5 linked regions of the Danio rerio genome follow. The protein of the gene in region 3 purifies or fractionates together with the protein of the main gene of each other region. This does not show direct contact. Links are inferred from orthologs where the notes say so. Each region holds a gene or a part of one and is shown on either strand. Other genes may lie near its edges. The genes, in order: ube2h, maea, armc8, mrpl18 and mkln1.

What was found.
Region 1: the proteins of armc8 (region 3) and ube2h purify together in Homo sapiens (affinity purification with mass spectrometry; 3 studies listed by BioGRID and IntAct, with this or other methods). This does not show direct contact. The link is inferred for Danio rerio from reciprocal best matches to the Homo sapiens genes ARMC8 and UBE2H.
Region 2: the proteins of armc8 (region 3) and maea purify together in Homo sapiens (affinity purification with mass spectrometry; 5 studies listed by BioGRID and IntAct, with this or other methods). This does not show direct contact. The link is inferred for Danio rerio from reciprocal best matches to the Homo sapiens genes ARMC8 and MAEA.
Region 4: the proteins of armc8 (region 3) and mrpl18 purify together in Homo sapiens (affinity purification with mass spectrometry; 3 studies listed by BioGRID and IntAct, with this or other methods). This does not show direct contact. The link is inferred for Danio rerio from reciprocal best matches to the Homo sapiens genes ARMC8 and MRPL18.
Region 5: the proteins of armc8 (region 3) and mkln1 purify together in Homo sapiens (affinity purification with mass spectrometry; 4 studies listed by BioGRID and IntAct, with this or other methods). This does not show direct contact. The link is inferred for Danio rerio from reciprocal best matches to the Homo sapiens genes ARMC8 and MKLN1.

The regions. Positions count from the first base shown.
Region 1 is NC_133179.1:15,632,189-15,635,705, reverse strand, and holds part of ube2h (ubiquitin-conjugating enzyme E2 H), read right to left. Parts: intron 1,832-3,517; coding exon 1,757-1,831; intron 1,546-1,756; coding exon 1,506-1,545; intron 612-1,505; coding exon 559-611; intron 1-558. UniProt on the Homo sapiens protein: Accepts ubiquitin from the E1 complex and catalyzes its covalent attachment to other proteins. E2 ubiquitin conjugating enzyme that transfers ubiquitin to MAEA, a core component of the CTLH E3 ubiquitin-protein ligase complex.
Region 2 is NC_133189.1:25,445,505-25,449,811, forward strand, and holds the start of maea (E3 ubiquitin-protein transferase MAEA), read right to left. Parts: upstream 2,812-4,307; 5' UTR 2,730-2,811; coding exon 2,661-2,729; exon of another isoform or gene 2,099-2,660; coding exon of another isoform or gene 2,057-2,098; intron 1-2,056.
Region 3 is NC_133184.1:29,563,164-29,566,680, reverse strand, and holds part of armc8 (armadillo repeat-containing protein 8), read right to left. Parts: intron 3,247-3,517; coding exon 3,151-3,246; intron 1,882-3,150; coding exon 1,799-1,881; intron 1,562-1,798; coding exon 1,480-1,561; intron 1,395-1,479; coding exon 1,308-1,394; intron 1-1,307. UniProt on the Homo sapiens protein: Component of the CTLH E3 ubiquitin-protein ligase complex that selectively accepts ubiquitin from UBE2H and mediates ubiquitination and subsequent proteasomal degradation of the transcription factor HBP1.
Region 4 is NC_133189.1:40,104,078-40,108,202, forward strand, and holds the start of mrpl18 (large ribosomal subunit protein uL18m), read right to left. Parts: upstream 2,801-4,125; 5' UTR 2,655-2,800; coding exon 2,558-2,654; intron 1-2,557. UniProt on the Homo sapiens protein: Together with thiosulfate sulfurtransferase (TST), acts as a mitochondrial import factor for the cytosolic 5S rRNA.
Region 5 is NC_133179.1:12,280,178-12,283,694, forward strand, and holds part of mkln1 (muskelin), read left to right. Parts: intron 1-9; coding exon 10-87; intron 88-224; coding exon 225-290; intron 291-764; coding exon 765-877; intron 878-3,188; coding exon 3,189-3,401; intron 3,402-3,516; coding exon 3,517-3,517. UniProt on the Homo sapiens protein: Component of the CTLH E3 ubiquitin-protein ligase complex that selectively accepts ubiquitin from UBE2H and mediates ubiquitination and subsequent proteasomal degradation of the transcription factor HBP1.

The sequences.
Region 1 (3,517 bases), on a different chromosome or scaffold from region 3:
AATAAATAAATAAATAAAAAGGATTCTTGGTTTTTATTTTGTATTTTCCACTTACCATGAATAGGTAAAACAGATTCTTATTATTATTTTATCTTTTGGAAGAAAAAAAAGACACTGCGGAATGATTATTTAGCACCAACTGGATTCAATCAATATAAAAAAAAATCTGAATCACATATGTCGGAATAATTTCACAAGACAGACTGCATTACTGAATTAAAAAAAAAAAAACTCAAGTCAACCTTTGGAGATAATTGCAATCATTATATTATTAACTATGCAGTTAAAATCAGAGTGACAGCATAAAAAAGCCTGTGGTGTGAATGGCCTCTGGCGGGATGGACCCGTTTAAGTGTGCTTGTTAGGTATACTGATGCTGTTTTCTGACCTTGCAGGTATTAGCTCATTCAGAGAAGGTAAGAGGATTATAGTGCACCACCATCCTGACTAAAGGCCAGGAGACTTTATTCTACTCCTCGGGCAGCATCAATGCAAGCTCTGGCTTTTCCTGAGCATTCATTCTCAATATGAATCCACAATGAGGTCATATGTACTCACCATAAAGAGCGGTCCATGTCTGGTTGATCACATCTAAACACACGGTCCCTGACCTGGAAAAACAGTGACAGTATTGGCATTAGAGCAGGACTAATGAGCTAAATTAATATTATTGTACTTAGATTCACTATGACACGCCATCACATTGTTTACTTCCACTTCTCCATTCTATGAGAGTGATTCCGATTACATTTTAAGGTACAGTATGCAAACTTTTTGTGTTTCCTTTTGAGATAACATTTTTTGTTCCTATTCAGCTAAAAATAGTAAATGCAAATAACTGTATTTAACTATACTGACTATAATCATATTGTTTAACTGGTGTAGTATGATATTATCATGTTTTAAACCATTTACGACACTTTGTTCATTATTATTAGTATATCTAACATACTAATGGACAGTATTTTTATTACTTCTCCAAAACCTGATCATCTTAGCATAGACTTTTATATACACACAATGTATTTTATTTACTCAAGCATTCCTGGATTTCAAGCTTTACAGTAATGACCGAGGATATTTATGTGACTAATAAAAAGCTAAAATGAATTTAAGAGATGGTTCTTTCATATTCAAAAGAAGAAACAAATTGTCACCGGTTTAAAACAACTTCAGGATGAGTCAACAACGATGGCATTTTAATTTTTGGGGTCAATTATCCTTTAAAAAAAAAAAAAGCATTCTTCACAAAACTATCATAAGACTTTTAAAAGACGACGCCAATTGGACTACTTTTAAATGATTGAATTGATTAATCCTTTTTTTTGGAGCTTGAAAAACCCTGTTTTGTCTTTAATATATAGAAAAAGAGCAGCATAAACATTTTTTAAAGTATCTCCTTTAGCATTCTTCAATCATCAAACAGGTTTTGAATGATTAGAGAATGATGGATTTACGTTTTTAGGTAAAATATCCTTAGAAGAAAGCCTCAGAATATCACTTACGCTTCATCGATGTTTGGATGAAAAATCTTATTCATAAATCCTACGAGAAAAATCAAAACAGGAAGTGAGATATATCAAAACAACAGCGTTTCAATGCACTAACCAACACCATCTTTACAGACTATTAAACATGACATCAAAGTGATGGCATGGCATTTTTTCCAAATTACACACGTATCTAAATGTAATCTACTCATAATTTCACAACCCAACCACCGTACGTGGCTGATCATGTCACTGTAATGCTTTACCTATAGACGGAGATTTGAAGGGGTATTTGTCTGGAAGATCTACTCGCACCTTCCAAACGCCCCCTTCATACGGTGCTGACAGGAAAAAACAAAACAGAAAGAGACACATGATGACTCAAGCTTTAAGACGAGACAATGTAGGCAAGATTTATTTCTGCACCTGTCAAATTTAATGTTTTGACTTTTCCTTTTAAGATATCTTTCAAAACACACTTTAAAGTGTTGATTTTATCACTCTTTTGCCATTTATTTTAATTACAAACGATATTTTTCTCCTGCATTGAGCCATAAGCACACACTTTGGCAGCACTTATTGTTTATATCGCAATCTTTACAGTTACATCTATGAAGGTTTTTACAGAGCAGACCTGGGCATTTTATGGCCCCCGGGCCAAATGCGGCCCACTGGACTTCTTTGATCAGCCGGCGTGAAGTATTTATTGAATTTCAATTCAACCGCAAACAGGGCCTTCATTGCACAGGTCTGATATTGCGAGTCAACAAAAGTCGACTTTCACATATAGCGCCTTTTGCAAGCTTAGTTTCGTTATTTTAAACAGACACTCGGGTTCAGCACGCAAATAAGAAGGGATTCACATGAGGTATGCCACACTGAATGAATAAATAAATAAATACAAGTTAACTAAGGTGAAGCAATCAAACAAACAACTCTGTAACATTTATATGAAGCTGACCTTTAAAATACTTTTGTGTAACATTTTTTTTTTACTTTAGAGTTTTTATTGAATTTTGTATTTTTTTTAACAAATTAAATGTATTGATCTCGCCCTCTAAAACCACCCCAGAGTCTATTGTGGCTCCTTGGAAAAATCAATTGCCCACCTCTGTTACAAAGGGATGTGTTCATACATAGTTTGACTGATTATATAAATCGATATATACTTTTTTTCAGACTGTTCCCAGAATTATATAACAAGAAAAGAGATTCCCTCTGAATATGTAAATAAGGCATTATTCATTTCTAACACACACATTACAAACCACACATTTTTAAAAACTACAAAAGTTTAGAAACAGTTTTCAATCGTAAGTTAACCCTCTACAGCACATCGTTGCCCTCAGGCAACAGAAAGTTTTCTTAAGGCTTGTGCTAAGCACAGATTTCTTAAAATGATTGCAACCAATTAAAATGTTAGAAAAAGTATCAATGAAACATCCAATAAGGCGTGCGAGTCACTATCTAGCACCGTTTGAAGGTGGAACTTCATTTTCTGACTCATGGTGACATGGATGGGAAGAAGTTAAGAATATTTGCTTAATTAACCTCATTCTAAGTAATATAAACTGTACAAAAATTGTATGTATTTGTGAAGTTGTAGAGAAGCCTTTTGTATAACTATATATATATATTTTTTTACCCTATTCACCTGCGGTGTCTTGCCTTAAAAAGACTAACACTCATAATGACTAACCTACGAGTGACTGAATGTGGGCGGAACACTAATTCCTTATTTGATAATTATGAATAATAAGTGTAAGGACACACGTGTGGGTGTGTATATATGTGTGCTATTGGTGTGGTGTGATATGAGGTCTGGTGCAACGTGTGCTCGCTCCAAGAATAGCCTTCTGCAATTTGACCCTTGTGGTCAGAAGCTCAAACTACGAAAGGTAAAGCCTGGGTGAGAGGAGACCGATAAGACTTCTGCTTCTCAATGTAGAGAGAGAGAAAAAAGGTCTTTACAGAGGATGATATGATAATTAAATAGGACCACAGGATGTTCTCTGGGTAAACAATGA
Region 2 (4,307 bases), on a different chromosome or scaffold from region 3:
CAAAAATGCCTCTGTCAATGTTTTCAAACCATTAGATTTGGTTTACCAAAGTCACACAAGTGGCAATTTCACATCTGTCACATCCATAACAGAGAAATGTAACATCCATAACGAAGTTTTTTCCTCATTAATGGAAATGTCAAATAAAATAAAACCAATCTTGTTTGTTCTATAGTGAGCTAACAATAGTAAGCTATAGTGAGCTGTTCTATAGTTATCCTTTTGATTAGCATTCTTTATTTTGGGTTGTGCACTTTAATTCATAGAATTTTTACCAAGTATGTTGTATACTATAAACTTGGATACTTTTTGGTCACGTACATAACGCATGTTTACTTCTCTCATTTAAAATATTAAAAATGTTTAAAGATTAATATTTTCGGATGACTTGACTTTGTGGTTAGTTGTTCTAGGAAATATAAACTAATGTTTCAATATAATGTTAACATATTCTTTCTCTGTGAGTTTTTGCTTTGAATTTTTACTACAAATGTCACATTCATAACGCTGGAATTGCTCTTTACCCAAAAAGTGGTACGGTCTGCTTTTTTGGTTCCTTAGACAGTGAAATGGGCCAAAAAAAAAGTACGATACTCTACCACACCATACCATAGGATTGTCACGATTCTAGAATTTGGTACCAATTTGTACAGAAATAAAAAAAAAAAGTCCATTTCCCGCAAACATTTGAGCGCTGTTGAGCACAGCGCTGATTCGCCATTGTGTTCACATGCTCAAAAGAAACGACTGTGATTGGCCGTGAAGGTCATTAGTTCACCAAATTCATTGCTGTTTACTTAGTGTAATAATCACAGTTTTTTCTGTTGAGTTAGTGAATACAATGGCAAATCAGCAGTGTTTAAGAATGTGCTCAACAGTGCACAAATGTTTGCAGGAAATTGATGTTTTTAAAATTTCAGTATCGATTGGTACCGAATTCCAGTATCATGACAACCCTATACCATATGGCTCAGGGCAGGCCACAAGACATTTATAATGAAATCTGAGAGCTCTTTCTACAGACTGCAACAGACCTGAGACATTCAAAGTTCAAAAAAAAGGAACCAAAACATTTTCGAAACATTCCATCTAACTTCAGTCAGAATGTGAATGTTGCCATCTATGGAGGATGAGGGAGCTCTCAGATATCCTCTAAAAATCTTAAACTGTGTTCTGGAGACAAAATAAAGGAAATTGTAAATGACATAAGGGTGAGAATTTAATAACAAAATGTAATTTTTGAGTAAACTAGCCCTGTAATGCTGGTTGCTATTCACTGCCAATTACTTTTTTTAAAGAAGAGGAAATGATATCAGGGTTATACATATTCATAGGTAGTTCGTTTTTAGGTGAACTCTTTAAGACATCTGTTTATTTCATTATTAGGCAGCAACCACCATTCATTTGTGACATACACTAGTAAAAATTAAATGTCATAAAAGGAATGTATTCCTTTTCGATTGTACACCATTATATAATTTGTAAATATGAACAAATATCAATTGTAATGATTCATCTACCTCTAAAACATTACACCAACCAGTCTCTTTTATGAAAGAGCTGTTCCACATATTTTCATTACACTTCCTCAACCAATGTGGCTTCTGGTTCTGCACCAAAATAGCGACTGGTATATATGGTTAGATCATGATGCAATGATCAAGAATGTACTGGAAATCATTCCCAATGCTGCAAGACAAGCTTAGATGCAACATGCCCTTGACACAGCAGTGAAGACCATATATTATTGACATTCAGTGTGCGTTTACATAAACAGGCGTCAAATTACATGAGATCCATGAACTAATCACGTCACAAAGCACTCAATGCATCATCAATCAGTCAAAAGAACCGGTTAACGTGAGGATTCATCCATAACGACGCTATCAATCGTGAAAAAAACCTCTGACGCAGAGAACAAAGGTGCTGTATCCCACCCATTACCGTAAATAATAAGCTCCTCATCGACAATCTACACCTGGTTGTTAAGCCCGCAAACGACCAACACAACATGATACAATGTGATCCTAATATGGTGCATAAATCGCATGCATACCGATCTCTGGTCACCATTGGCATGTGTATATCCCTCCAGCATTCATCTAAAGCCACGGAAAATCATAGCTTTAGATGACAGCCGCCAAATAGCAATCAAACGCACACATGAGACTGAACAGCAGTCGATTATGAAGCATCAGTACATCCGATATTATTCGTGTCACTCACTATCCAACCTCGCTAATGATTATCGTCAATCTGCCTTGAACTGCATTGCTCGCTGGTTACACTAGTGGACAAACCTGTGATGGGATAAAACAGCGTCTATTAACACAACACTGTCGGAACGCAAGAATGACATGGGCCAGACTGACATTAATCGACTCATTTACCCCTTTAACACAGCTGTCGACGCAATTTATAACTGAACATGCGATGTCACTGCTGGAATATTTGCGATCACTCCGGTTAGATCGGTTTGTGTGGGACTTGTTTTGCTAAGTTATCTAGCCCCAGAGCTAACCAGTTAACTGTCTAAATGCAGACACAGTTTTAATTTGATGGATAATCTCAGTTTGATGCCCTGTTATTGAGGTCAAACAACGCACACGGAATCTGTTTAGTTGCGTGATTAGATTATGGAGAGGAAACGCTTGACAGACCTTTAAAGTTGGGTATTCTTGCACCTTTAGGGCCATAGAGAGTTGAGCTGCTGTCTCTTGCACCGCCATCTTGCTTTGGGGAAACTGTGGAGCGTTTGTTCGTCTTCTTCCCGGATTTGGTCTTCGCCGCGGCAGCGAGGTTAGAACTGTTTGTTACCGCCTCCTAGTGTGGCGGTGAATGCTTGTGTTTTTAGGATCAAAAAGATAATTCAGCCAAAAATAAAAATGTACCCATTATTTAAGGCACAGCTGTCAAAATCAGTTTGTGGATCGCCTCAGCTGCACAGATAGAGGTAAAGTTGGTTTTATATTCGGATATTCAGACATTCTCCTGAATAATATAATTCCAGAAAAATATTATTTGAAAATTGTAAATAGCGAAATCATATTAGCAGTAAATGATCGTTAAAGTACAACATTGTTCACAGTGAATTACATAGTGTTAATGTTGTTTAGAAGTCATACTTGCATGCTAATTCCGATCGAATATTCAAAGTAACATGGTAAACAAGAAAGAGACTTCTAAATGAACGAATATGCGAATATAAAACCAACTTTACCTCTATTCTGCACAGTTAACGTTAAGTTCCAACAGTTCAGCAAAGGTAGCAACAGATTCACAGATTCGTTGCTAACTTTACTGAACTAGTTCCAACCCTAATGGACTCCTTTTAAAAGACATTTAACTTAAGGGTCATTGTTTAACACGTTTAGCAGTCATCATAAACTTAAATCCCTGAAAGTTTTTAATATTTAGATTTTTAAAAAACACGTAAACATTTATATGCATTTATGAATGTATTAGATCAACTTTGCGTCAAATTACATTAAAACCAATTACCTCTAAAGCGAGGTGTTTGTAGCGTCTGTAGGGCTTAGAGTAAATTTGATGTTATTGTCTCCTCTGGCTGCCATCATCAGTCTCACACAATTTTTTCCCCCTATTTCTGAAAGTCGTGATAACACCACCATGGAGTTTTTTATATTTCAGCAAATAGGATTGTAAAAGATGTTTTTGTTGTACTCTCCCATTCACTGCGCTCTAAGTTTACCCAACCATGATGCCTTCCACTACTGAGAAAGCCAGAAGTGTGAAAAGGGTCTATTAAACACACATGATCAAACTAACCGAGTCCTTCAGGCTTGTTTGAAATCTACAGGTAACAGTCACACTAGAGTTTGAGCATGTGAAATCCTGTTATATGTCGCTGCAAGAGGGGCGGGATTAAACAAGATGATTATACATTAAAAAAAAAAAAACAAGTGATAGGTCCATGTTTTAAATTCCTGTCCGAAGAGGTCATTTTTGGATTTTCGATCTCACGCAATTATGTGATGCGATTTTGTACTCCAAGTTTGATCTTTTCAACGCAGCAATCTGCGTTTTCAATGTGACGCATTCTTGTGCGTATGAATGGATGTCTATAGGGAGAAAAGTGCAGTGTGATCGCAACTTAAGTATGTTGGAGTTGGGTTGGAACCAATGGTGTAGTCAGGGCTATACGCATGTATACTCCATATGCTTACTTTTTTACCACTGTTTGGGTATTACGACTTTAAAGGATCAATAATTGCGTATACCCTCGATATACTCACTTTTTTTGGTGATTAAATTTCCCTAATTTATGTGTATTCGTGTCACCTTTA
Region 3 (3,517 bases):
CAACGTTCTGACCACTAGACCACATTGGCGCTGTTACTCGTGTGGCCGGAATGATAGTTAGATCATCAATACCCTGTAGGCTGCATTTTGCTCTTGGGGCTGCGAGACAATAAATAAGAAGAGCTGAGCTGCGGCAAAATAATGAATAAAAAGAGTGAGGCTATGGTCAAATAAATAAATCAATGAAAAAAGAAGTGCGACTGCTGAGAGCGCAAGCAGCAAGAAACACCGGCCCTCGCGGCCAAAAAACGGACCGGCACACCGGGAGTTCTCCCGGTCCTCTCGAATGGCCAATCCAAACTGAAAGTAACTGAAAGTAACTCAAACATATAGTACAGTACCTTAAATGTCCAGTAGGTGGGGGGTCAAAACCACAAGTATATATGCGACAGCACAACAATAATAGTGATTCTAAAATAAATGTATCGCTCGGCCGAATCTGGGCAGTTTGAGACCCCTGCATTACAGTAACTTTGGCTCAGGCATTTCAGACAGACTGAAACATTTTTGAGATGTTTTGTGATGAGATCAATCTGCTGGCTTGTTCAATAATCTCCTCACATTACTGTGAGTTTATTGTTGTTGCATATTTATTCAGTAAATGCATTTTTCCTTTGTACTTTATACTCGTCTTTTTTTGCTGGAAAAAATTTAATTCAATAAAGCTGCAAATTTTAAACGTAAATTTTCAGAATGATTTTTAGAATGTATGCTCAGCTGGGTGTTTTATTTCATCCAGTATATTTTTATGCAAAGGAATTTTACTTGTCGACTTGTAGAGCTGCGCATTAATAGATTTGCTGAACTTCAACTCTGAAAACTGGACTGAAACAGTTTCAATTTACTAGAACTTCTATGTTAAGCTGCTTTGACACAATTTGCACTGTAAAAGCGCTATAGAAATAAAAATGTATTGAATTGAATAAATAGATGGATGAAAACATACTGTACAGCAATGTTATCTGTTAATTTCTGTTAAAATATGTGTCTTCTGTTCAAATTCTTCAAATGAATAGATGTTATTTTTTATTTAATTATTAAAAATTATCCAGGAGGCTCATTTTGCATTTTCAAAAGCACATCATACTGTATAATAGCACAACATGAATGACAAACTTAGTCCATCGTCAATTTAAAAAAAAAACTTTGCTATACAGAAAGCACACAAATCAAATCTTATAAATCCAAAACTATTTTTGTTGACTGATAGGAAGAGATTAAGCACTAAAGTTAAGGTGTGCTGACAGTTTTTCGCTTTGTAGATATGTGTTAATAATGCTAAGCCCAACAAAGTGTAAATACTTTACCTCTTTACTGGGTGAAAATTCCAGAAGAAGGTTGCATAGTGTTGAAGAGGCCATGACCAGCACCTCATCTGGTGCGTTCTGTAATAACTACCAAAACAAACAAAACAAACGTTTATTCTGTTTAGCTTAGATTAGCGTTGATATTCAGCTTAGCATCATCGAGATGTCATACCTTCATTAGTGGTTTCCATACGGCATGATCATGGAAACTCGTTCTTAGCTGTTGTACTGATCGTGATAAACTGTGGAGACATCTAGAGGAAAACAAATAAAAAGAAATCATCTGAAATACAAAAGCAACATTTTTTAAATTCTTGAAACTCTTTCAACATCCAATTGCTGTGGCATTTCAACAAACACATTTCATATTTGCTCCACTGATCAATAGTTTGAGGTCAGTAAGAGGTCTTGAATGTTTTTAAGCTCATCAACAGTGCATTCATATTATAAAAATTAATTACAGAAGTACTGTGAAAAGAGATGCCTCATACCTGACTGCTGCTAACCGTACTTTGATACTAGATTCTGATAAGCCGCTAACAATTCTGTCCATCATGTTTTCCGTCTCTGTAATCTGTAGGGGAGAAATTGGATCTTTCATTACATCAACCCAATATCTTTACTTAGGGATGTTCATTGTGAATCTTTTTCCTGACTGACAACTGACATTTATTACATGTAAAAAGACAATGTCAATTAAATTACAATTAAATTCAATTAGATGTGTGACTGTGACTCTTTAAAATACCTCTAATGTTTTATCTTACATAACCATTATATACAGTTAGGGCTGAAATTATTAATACCCCTGACAAATTCTGACAAAAAAGCTTTTGTTTAAATGTAAACAAAAGCTCTTGTACATCATCTTATTATCTTTCAGAAGAAAAATGACAGGGATGAAGCCCTAAAAAAGCCCTGAAAAAAAATTATGGTGGAATAAAATTTACTTTAAGTCAGAATTTGCCAGGGGTGTGTTTGTGTTTAATGAAATTTACTTTTAAAATAACATAAATGACCCACTGAACTACTTATTTTGACAATAATAGTAATCTTCTAATAATCTTCTTATAGAGTTCCTACAATCAATTAACAGGTCATTTTGAAAAACCTTTCATTATTTACTCCTCCTTAAGTTGTTCCAAACCTGTTAGATATTCTTCTGTTGAAAACAGAAAATATTTTAAGAAAGAAAATTGGAAACCATGTAACCATTGACTTTCACAGTATGTTTTTCCTACTTTGAAAGTTGATGGTTTCAGGTTTCCAGCTTTCTTCAAAATATCTTCTTCTGTGTTCAACAAAAGACAGAAAGGTTTATTACCACTTGAGGGAGAGTAAATTGTAAGTAAGGTTTAATTTTCAAAAAGGTAAACTATCCTTTAAAACACTGAAGAGGTTTAACTACACATGAGGAGAATGACAGGGATGAAGCCTGTCATTTACGATCAAAAAAAAAAAACTTGCTGGTTGAATAAAAGTTACTTTAAATCAGAATTTCCCAGGTGTGTGCTTGTGTTTAATAAAATGTACTTTTGAAATAACTTAAATGACCCACTGAACTACTTGTTTGACAAAAATAGTAATCTTCTAATAATCTTCTTATAGAATTCCTACTGTCAATTAACAGGTCAGTTATGAAAATTTCTCTTTTTAACTGTCATGGTATCAAGGTTGACTTTTTAAGTCTTCAGTCACACTGATAATTTTTTTAGGAACACAAAGCATTATAACATAACGCTGGATAAAAATAAAACAACAGCAAAAGATAAACAAATTAGTTAAGATAAGCTAAAAATCTACACATCGAGGTAATCTATCTAAGCCAACTATAGTGTCTCACCTTCTTCCTGATGTCCTCATCATTAGACCCCAGTGAAGCATAGAGTTTAAAGGCTGCCTGTCGAAGCTCATGTGCATGTTTCAAGTCATGATCCAACTAAACACAGACAGGGACATTTTTTACTGTTCAATGGCTTAATCAGCATAATCTGTATATTTAGGTTTATATAAAAACAGGAGAAGAAAATATGTCCTCCTTTATCAATTAATTAAATGCCAAAGACAAAAAAGATTTAGGTTTATACAAAAACAGGAGAAGAAAATATGTCCTCCTTTATCAATTAATTAAATGCCAAAGACAAAAAAGCATCAAAAATAATATGGCAATCATTTAGCTTGAGGCATCAAAACAATAAAAGTGCATAGTC
Region 4 (4,125 bases), on a different chromosome or scaffold from region 3:
GAGACCCCTGGACTAAAAGGTTCTGCTCAATAAATATTCAAAAATAAATGTGCAATCGTTTGCATGTCAACCTCACAGAATGTACAATTGTTGCGATCAAAATTAAATCTATGTCTAAGAAACTCTGAAGATGGGTAAATATCATTAAAAATTTAAAATGTACTTCTTTAGCTTTGGGAGGTATGGGGAAGGAAAGAAACATTGTTCTTAAATTGATAATAGAGCTCATGGAAAAAAGAAAATACACATTATCTATTAGCTTGAATTGAAGCTAATTCAGCAGGTGGGCACCTTTAGAACTGTGAAAATAATGGTGTTGCCTTGGTTACTGGAGTAAACAAAGCACCATGAGGTCATGGGTCCGTTCTTCGTACGTGGATTACTTAGTTAGCTGGATTTGGATATTGACGGTTTGACACGATCCAGGATCGTTTCGTTCTTCAAAGCTGATTCGAGAGTTGTCGTCATAGCAACAGTTCTGCTAGCTCAAACCTGATCGGGAGCAGGTTCAATTCATATAAACAGGATTAGATCGGCTCAGTTCAAGCAAAGATAATACAGAAAGTATGTTCCGAATTCTGATATTTTCTTACAGTAGTAGTCACAACTGGGAAAATGGTAAATATATTTTAACTATATAAAGTTATAGTTATTAATAAAATAAATAAAGTTATATATATATATTAATAAAACATGCAATCTGCACTCTCGAAATGAAAGTACAAAGACTGCCACTTGGTGGTGCACAGAGAAAACTTATTGATAAGAACTTTTTAGATCGCTTTAATACAATTTGTGTATAATAGAAATGCACAATATGTGACTTTTTAAAAGAAATAATACATTTTTGCAGTCTTAAACATGTTTTGATAGTTAATATGCCAGTAATTTGATGCTTCACAAAAGTTGCAGACCCCTTTACCAATATCAAAATGCTTTTGTAAACATCCAGTTATTGTTTACACCGATTAAAAAACGGCTACTATAATAAAGAAAATCTTTTCTAAATGTAGTACTAAATACATTGATTTGCATTGAAATACATGATGAATGCTCTTGACACATGAAAGTGTAAAGCCTGCAGCTCACAACAAATGTGGAAGGTTATTGCGTGTCATATTTAACAAACCGTTTCCTGCTAATTTGATGTAATGTTGCTCACATGGATAATTGAATATTAATCAGATGATGTCATTACGCTGCTATGCCGTCAGCCAATCGTAGCATTTGATCATGATTTTGAGGATCAATAGATCTGTCCTTCACAACACACGCAGCGATCTCAGATCAGTTCATCCAGACATTCTAATCTGATTCGCGAACTTGTTTGAAGAACCAAACTAGCCAGAGATCAGTTATCAAGATGAAAAGATCCAGGATCTGCCAAATCATCTTAGATCATTTAAGCGAGGTACGAAGAACGGACCCCTGATCTAGCAGGATTTTATTCATTTCATAAACTACACAGAATCCTGATATTTGCTGATTTAATTCAGGCAAACTTTGACAAAAAACCATACATGTAAAATTTAACATCTTGAAAAATAGCGTTTAAGACAATATCTTTACATTGGCTTATCAACTTTTAATACTTTTTAAGACTCCGCAGCTCTGCACCATTATAACTGTAAAATTGACAGTTTTTAAATTTGAAAAGAAAAAAAAAAGTAAAACAAAGAGCTGTAATTAACATTGTTCGAGTTTAGTCTGGTGGGAAAAGTCTTTGTCTAAAAGAAATGTAATTTGGAGATTAATCCCAGTTCAGTCTCACCAGAATCTTTTTGTGAACAGATTCCCCAAAAATTTACAGTCCAGACTGACTTAAATATTCTGCCACTTTTGTGTTATTTTAATCACTTCAGTTCCAAAACGCACTGAGAAATACACAGCGAGGTAAAGTTGGATTTATATTTGCACACTCAGACTTTGTTCCCAATAATATATTTTTAGAAAAGTATTGTTTGAAAATTAAAAATGGGGAACCATATATCCCACTAATGACTATCAAAAACGTACAACATTGTTTAGTCAATTTAATAGTGCTGATATTGTTTTGAAGTCATACTTGCATGCAATTTCAGATAGAATAATCAAAGTAACGTTGGCATAGTAAACAATACACAGTGTCACAACTTGTAACTGAACTAATGTGGTAATGTAAATTGAGGTAAAGATGGTTTTATATTCACACATTTGTTCAGTGACAGCTCCACACATTGTTTACCATGGTACTTTGAGTATTCGGACTGAAATCACATGCAAGTATGGCTTCAAAACAACATTATCACTACTTAATTGACTGTGAACAATGCTGTACTTTGATGGTTGTTGGCTGTTGATATAATTTCGCTATTTAGAATTTCCAATTAATACTTTTCTGACATCATATTAATAATGAGAAAGACTGAATGTGCGAATATAAAACCAACTTTACCTCAATGTAATGTAAAACCAGCTTCACCTCAATAAAAAACACAGACGTCGCCTGTATGTAATGAACACACACGTGCTGCAGAGGATCAGTGGATAAAGCTAAAGGTTTAGTTGTGTTTCTTACCGGGCTGACAGTGAAGCCACGCCGCTGCAGCTGCAGATCTCTGACATTGAGCTAGCAGCACGCGAGCACTACGACAAACATCACTAAACAAAGCCATTTGACGGCTTTAACTATGCCTTTAATTATAACGCCAGTTTATAACTGTTGTTTCTGTTCAATCAGCTACCGCATGACCTTTTCTATGATATTAAAATGATCTGTCCAGACTCTAGTGCGCAGCCATTTTGATGTCACTGAGAACACAGTCCGTGTTTCCGGAAGAAACTTGGAACTGCACATGGGTTCCGTTTAGAGATCCTTAAAATGAATAAAAACAAATGCAAACCCTTTTTATGTTGTATAGAATATGCTCTTTAATGCATTTAAAAAAATCGTTCTTTTAAGGCCCTTAAACTAAAGTTTATTAAAATAGTTTATACTCGCATACTATAAAGCTGTCCACCAGATGTCACCAGTACACTTCATTCTAAAATAAGAAAACCTCACATATAGGATCCATCACTTCACAGTTATTAAAAAGTAATTTTATTGTGTTGGAGTAGCCTACTGTAGTTTAACCTTGGCCATTAGAGATCAATTTTATTTACAGTGGGACATTAAAAAAGCATTTTTCCATGATTCATCAATGCTAGCACTTTGGGAGATGAAAAAAAAAACTTACATGTAACACAGAATCAACATGAATCATTGATTCACATTGAGAAACTATAAATGTAAACATTTGTCTGTACAAAAAGCTGAAAATCATTTACAACAATATGCTGTTACCTGTAATCAGCCATAATAACTTTCCTTAATATGTTTTTGTCTGAAAGGTCAGCCTTTCCTAATGCACTCATTTACTTACACATTAAATACTCTGTATTGCTACAAAGTTGTCGCATCCAGGACAGGTACATGCACCATTTTGGTGAACATTCTAACAGGATCTCTGACTGCATGATTTTTGCATACATACAGTACCATAAGATTAAAATTTGCTCCTCTTATTTTTATATTTCTATGATAGTTCTTGTTGTAAATGGTGTCTGTAAACTTCATTATTTTGTAAAAATTAATTTGCCCTCTAAAATATTTTTTTCTCAAAAGCCATAACTTCCCCTGCATGCCCCCTTGGACCAACTTTTCTTCACTTCTGGTCACATGGAGCACCTTTAGGGAGGAGCTGTCAAGACATATTTTGTTTTAGCCTTGTCTTGTCGTCCAATCTTGCTTCATTTTGTTAGAAATTTCTTCCAACAATCCATAGCCCCAAAGGGTGAAATCTTCTTGCACCGCCCAACCTTTTTTCTTATTTCCAGTTTTAATTGGATATACGTCATGGAAAAAGAGGGCAATCTTAACTTCCAATTTTTGCCAACTTTATACATTCAATTCTTGTGAAAGAATCCAAAAAGCATTTTGTAGGAATTAAAATAATCATATGAATTTGTTTATATGGCAGAACATGTCTTTTTCAAGAAGATCCATACTGACTCAAAAGGCAGATACTGATGAGATCAGGGCCTGGTGTGTGGACTTGGGGGATTTACGATGTGATCACATGTTGATTGGTCAGTTTGTACGTC
Region 5 (3,517 bases), on a different chromosome or scaffold from region 3:
CTCTTCCAGATGGTTTGTTTAATCAGTACATCAGCCAGCAGGATTATAAGCCACGCTGGAGTCAGATCATCCCCAAATGTAACAAAGGTACGACAGCAGTCCGCTGTGGCACTGAATCTGGACACTGGACTCCAGGAAGTCTGCTGCTGTATTAATGACTTACCGACTTCTTCCTGACACGCACCACTTCTTATTGTTTTTTTTGTTTTTAACTTTCTGATTAGGCGATGGTGATGATAACAGGCCGGGCATGAGAGGAGGTCATCAAATGGTCATTGATGTTCAGACAGGTACGTTTTACATCACGCTGCTCATTTGCAAACTTTCTGATTGGGTGGTTATCATATCACTGTTTAGCTTGTCCTGTCTTGCTCATAGTGGAATGCATGCCTTTTTGCTCTGCTGTTGCAAGTTAATGGCTGTTTTAAGCGTGCGTGTGAATTGGTGAGCTTGTTGTTTGAAGAACAGTCGATCCCGCAGCTCTGTGCATTCAGACTGACCTCGAGTAACCCACTCTACACGGCTCAGCTGACGCTCAATAGCTCAAACAACTGTCTCTGCTTATCACCATGGCTACATCAGCCTTTCAACCTCACCACACAGCTGCCTTTCAAGAAAATGACGATTTATAAGCACTTAAAGCATGTTTTTTATGCTTCGGTTTCATATTGAATCTCTTACAAAGGAGTAAGACGGCTCACCCACTCACTCTAGCTTTCTCTCTCTCTGTTTGTACTTTTGTGTCCGTGTCTTTTGTTCATCAGAAACCGTGTATTTGTTCGGTGGCTGGGATGGAACGCAGGACTTGGCTGATTTCTGGGCGTACAGTGTGAAGGAGAACCAATGGGCCTGCATCTCCAGGGACACAGAGAAAGAGGTAAGAGAGAAAGTAAAAGAGGGAATTTCTTTTCAATTATGACTCAGCTGAATGGCACAAAAAAAAATCCCTAGGCATTTCCATCATGTCTGATTTTCACATACTATAGTGAGTGAGCTCTCTGTGCAAAGTGCATTGATAGATGGGTGATCTTTCAGCGGTTGGCTATTTAGATCTGGAATTTTAACTTGTAGTTGTAATAGTTCATGCTTGAGGATGATATGATTGAAATGGAAAATATGTGGAGTGACGTCCTCAGTGTTGACAGAAGTTATAATAGATGATCTTATTGGCTGTCTGGTACACAGTCCAGTTGAAACTAAAACCGCTTATTAACAGCAATGGCTGATTGACATAACCAATCACAGTTTACCATTTTAAGGCTCATTAGGGAGATTAAAATACATCAATATGGATTCATTTATTGATCAAATGACAAATTATATTGATTATTTGTGAGTTAATATAAAATCAATGTTTTTTTTGTAAATTAGGCACTTAATATCAAAATATTGATCGATATTTATTATATTTAATCCACTAAATTGATTTTAGTTAGATATTTTAGTATATGTATCTATATATATCTATATATATCTATATATATATATATATATATATATATATATATATATATATATATATATATATATATGTGTATATATATATGTGTGTATATATGTATATATATGTGTGTATATATGTATATATATGTGTGTGTGTGTGTGTGTGTGTGTGTGTATATATATATATATATATATATATATATATATATATATATATATATATATATATATATATATATATATATATATATATATATATATATATATATATTGTATAGGTTGATAAGAGTATCAGTATTATATCGTCTCGTTACAAGACATCCAATTTTTTTTTGAGAACCAAAAACTGTTTTATTTGTATGCTTGTTAGTTTTTTGTTTTGTTTAGTGCTACTCTGGGCCCTAAATTTTGATAACATTGACCTTAAAAAATTTGAATCACAAACTGACTGTTTTTTTCCTTTTTGAAATATCGATACCTTGATACTTCATCTTCCATCCTCATCTATAGTTTACTCTGTCTTGTAGATGTATCGAGAATCAGATGAAAGTGTGAAAGAAAAGTCTTGTGCAATATGTAAATGGTCTAAATGCCTTCGTTACACTTGGAATTAACGTCTGTTTCAGTGATCCGATTGCAAATGGTCAGCCAAGACACATTACCATTTACACCTGGTATTGACATGTGTTAAAATCATCTTCATGAGTTTCTTCAAGAATACATCACTTCCGCAGGAGCACTGAGTGCTGTTAGAGTCTCTTTAACATAATTGATTTCACTCTGTGCCATCTTTGAAACACCTCTCGGGAACTTTCCAAAACTGTTTGCCAAGCTTACGATTACATTACATATTTCTCACAAATTTTGGTTTTAAGAGTTCAAATGAGATCACGACATTTACTCATTTACTCATTGCCATTCTCTGGATATTGCTTCGTCAGATTGTGCTGGTCTTCTGAAGTAATCCACAACTTGGTCTTGAGGCGAATCTCCTCCAATGACAGTGACTGTTTGTTTAATTTTGTGTGCGTTTGAGTAGTTGCTGCTGTCATGTGATGGGTGTTTGACAGGACAAACTATACCTCGTGTTCATTTTATACAGATTACAAAACCAAAAACTTTTGTTTTCAGGTGTAGTCGGTTAATTTAAAAGTACAAATTTCAAGCTTTATATGTATATGTGAAGAAGTGTTTTTCATGTTGCCTCTGAAGCAAGTATTTGCTGAGATTCCAGTGCATTTATTGTCCACAACAAACTGTCATAAAAGCACACAATTGGTCTGAGCTTCTCCTCTTGGAGAGATCAATGATTGGCTTCTGTACTAGAAGGCAGAGCTTCATTCGCCGTATTGACCGACAATTTTCCCCATTTAAATCTATACAAGTGACAGGTCTTGTGTATTTATAGTCTTTAGTGCTATTGAATAAATGAAAAACCCATGTAATGCAGCTTTTGAGTGAGCGAGGAAATGATGAATGAGAAGATTGTGGATGTTACAATTTTTTTTCATTGTAATTCGGTTTTGGTAGATCATGGTGAGGTATGAATACTTTCTTTTTGTCCCATAGTTATCGTGTATGGTTTGACATGACAGAAAGCAGAATGGTCATATGTAGTTTCATTAGAAGTTGTCATCTTTTACACCTGTATTTCATCTACTTGTGATCGGATTAATGAAAATGCATCCTAATACTTGGCTTAAATGGCAATAACTACAAAGGTGGTGTTACATTTTTTTTTTCAGAGTGGTCCCAGTGCTCGTTCATGCCACAAAATGTGCATCGATTCTCAACGGAGGCAGATCTACACGCTGGGCCGATATCTGGACTCCTCGGTCAGAAACAGCAAGTCTCTGAAGAGTGACTTCTACTGCTACGACATTGACGCAAACACGTGGACCCTCCTGAGTGAAGACACATCCGCTGATGGAGGACCCAAACTTGTGTTCGACCACCAGGTAAATTGCACAACCTACAGTATATGCAGGATTTATCCTCCATACCATCAGGAGTCTCTCTTTTACAGATTTATGATGAACACCTATTAAAATAATCTTCCTTTTGCGTCCTCAGA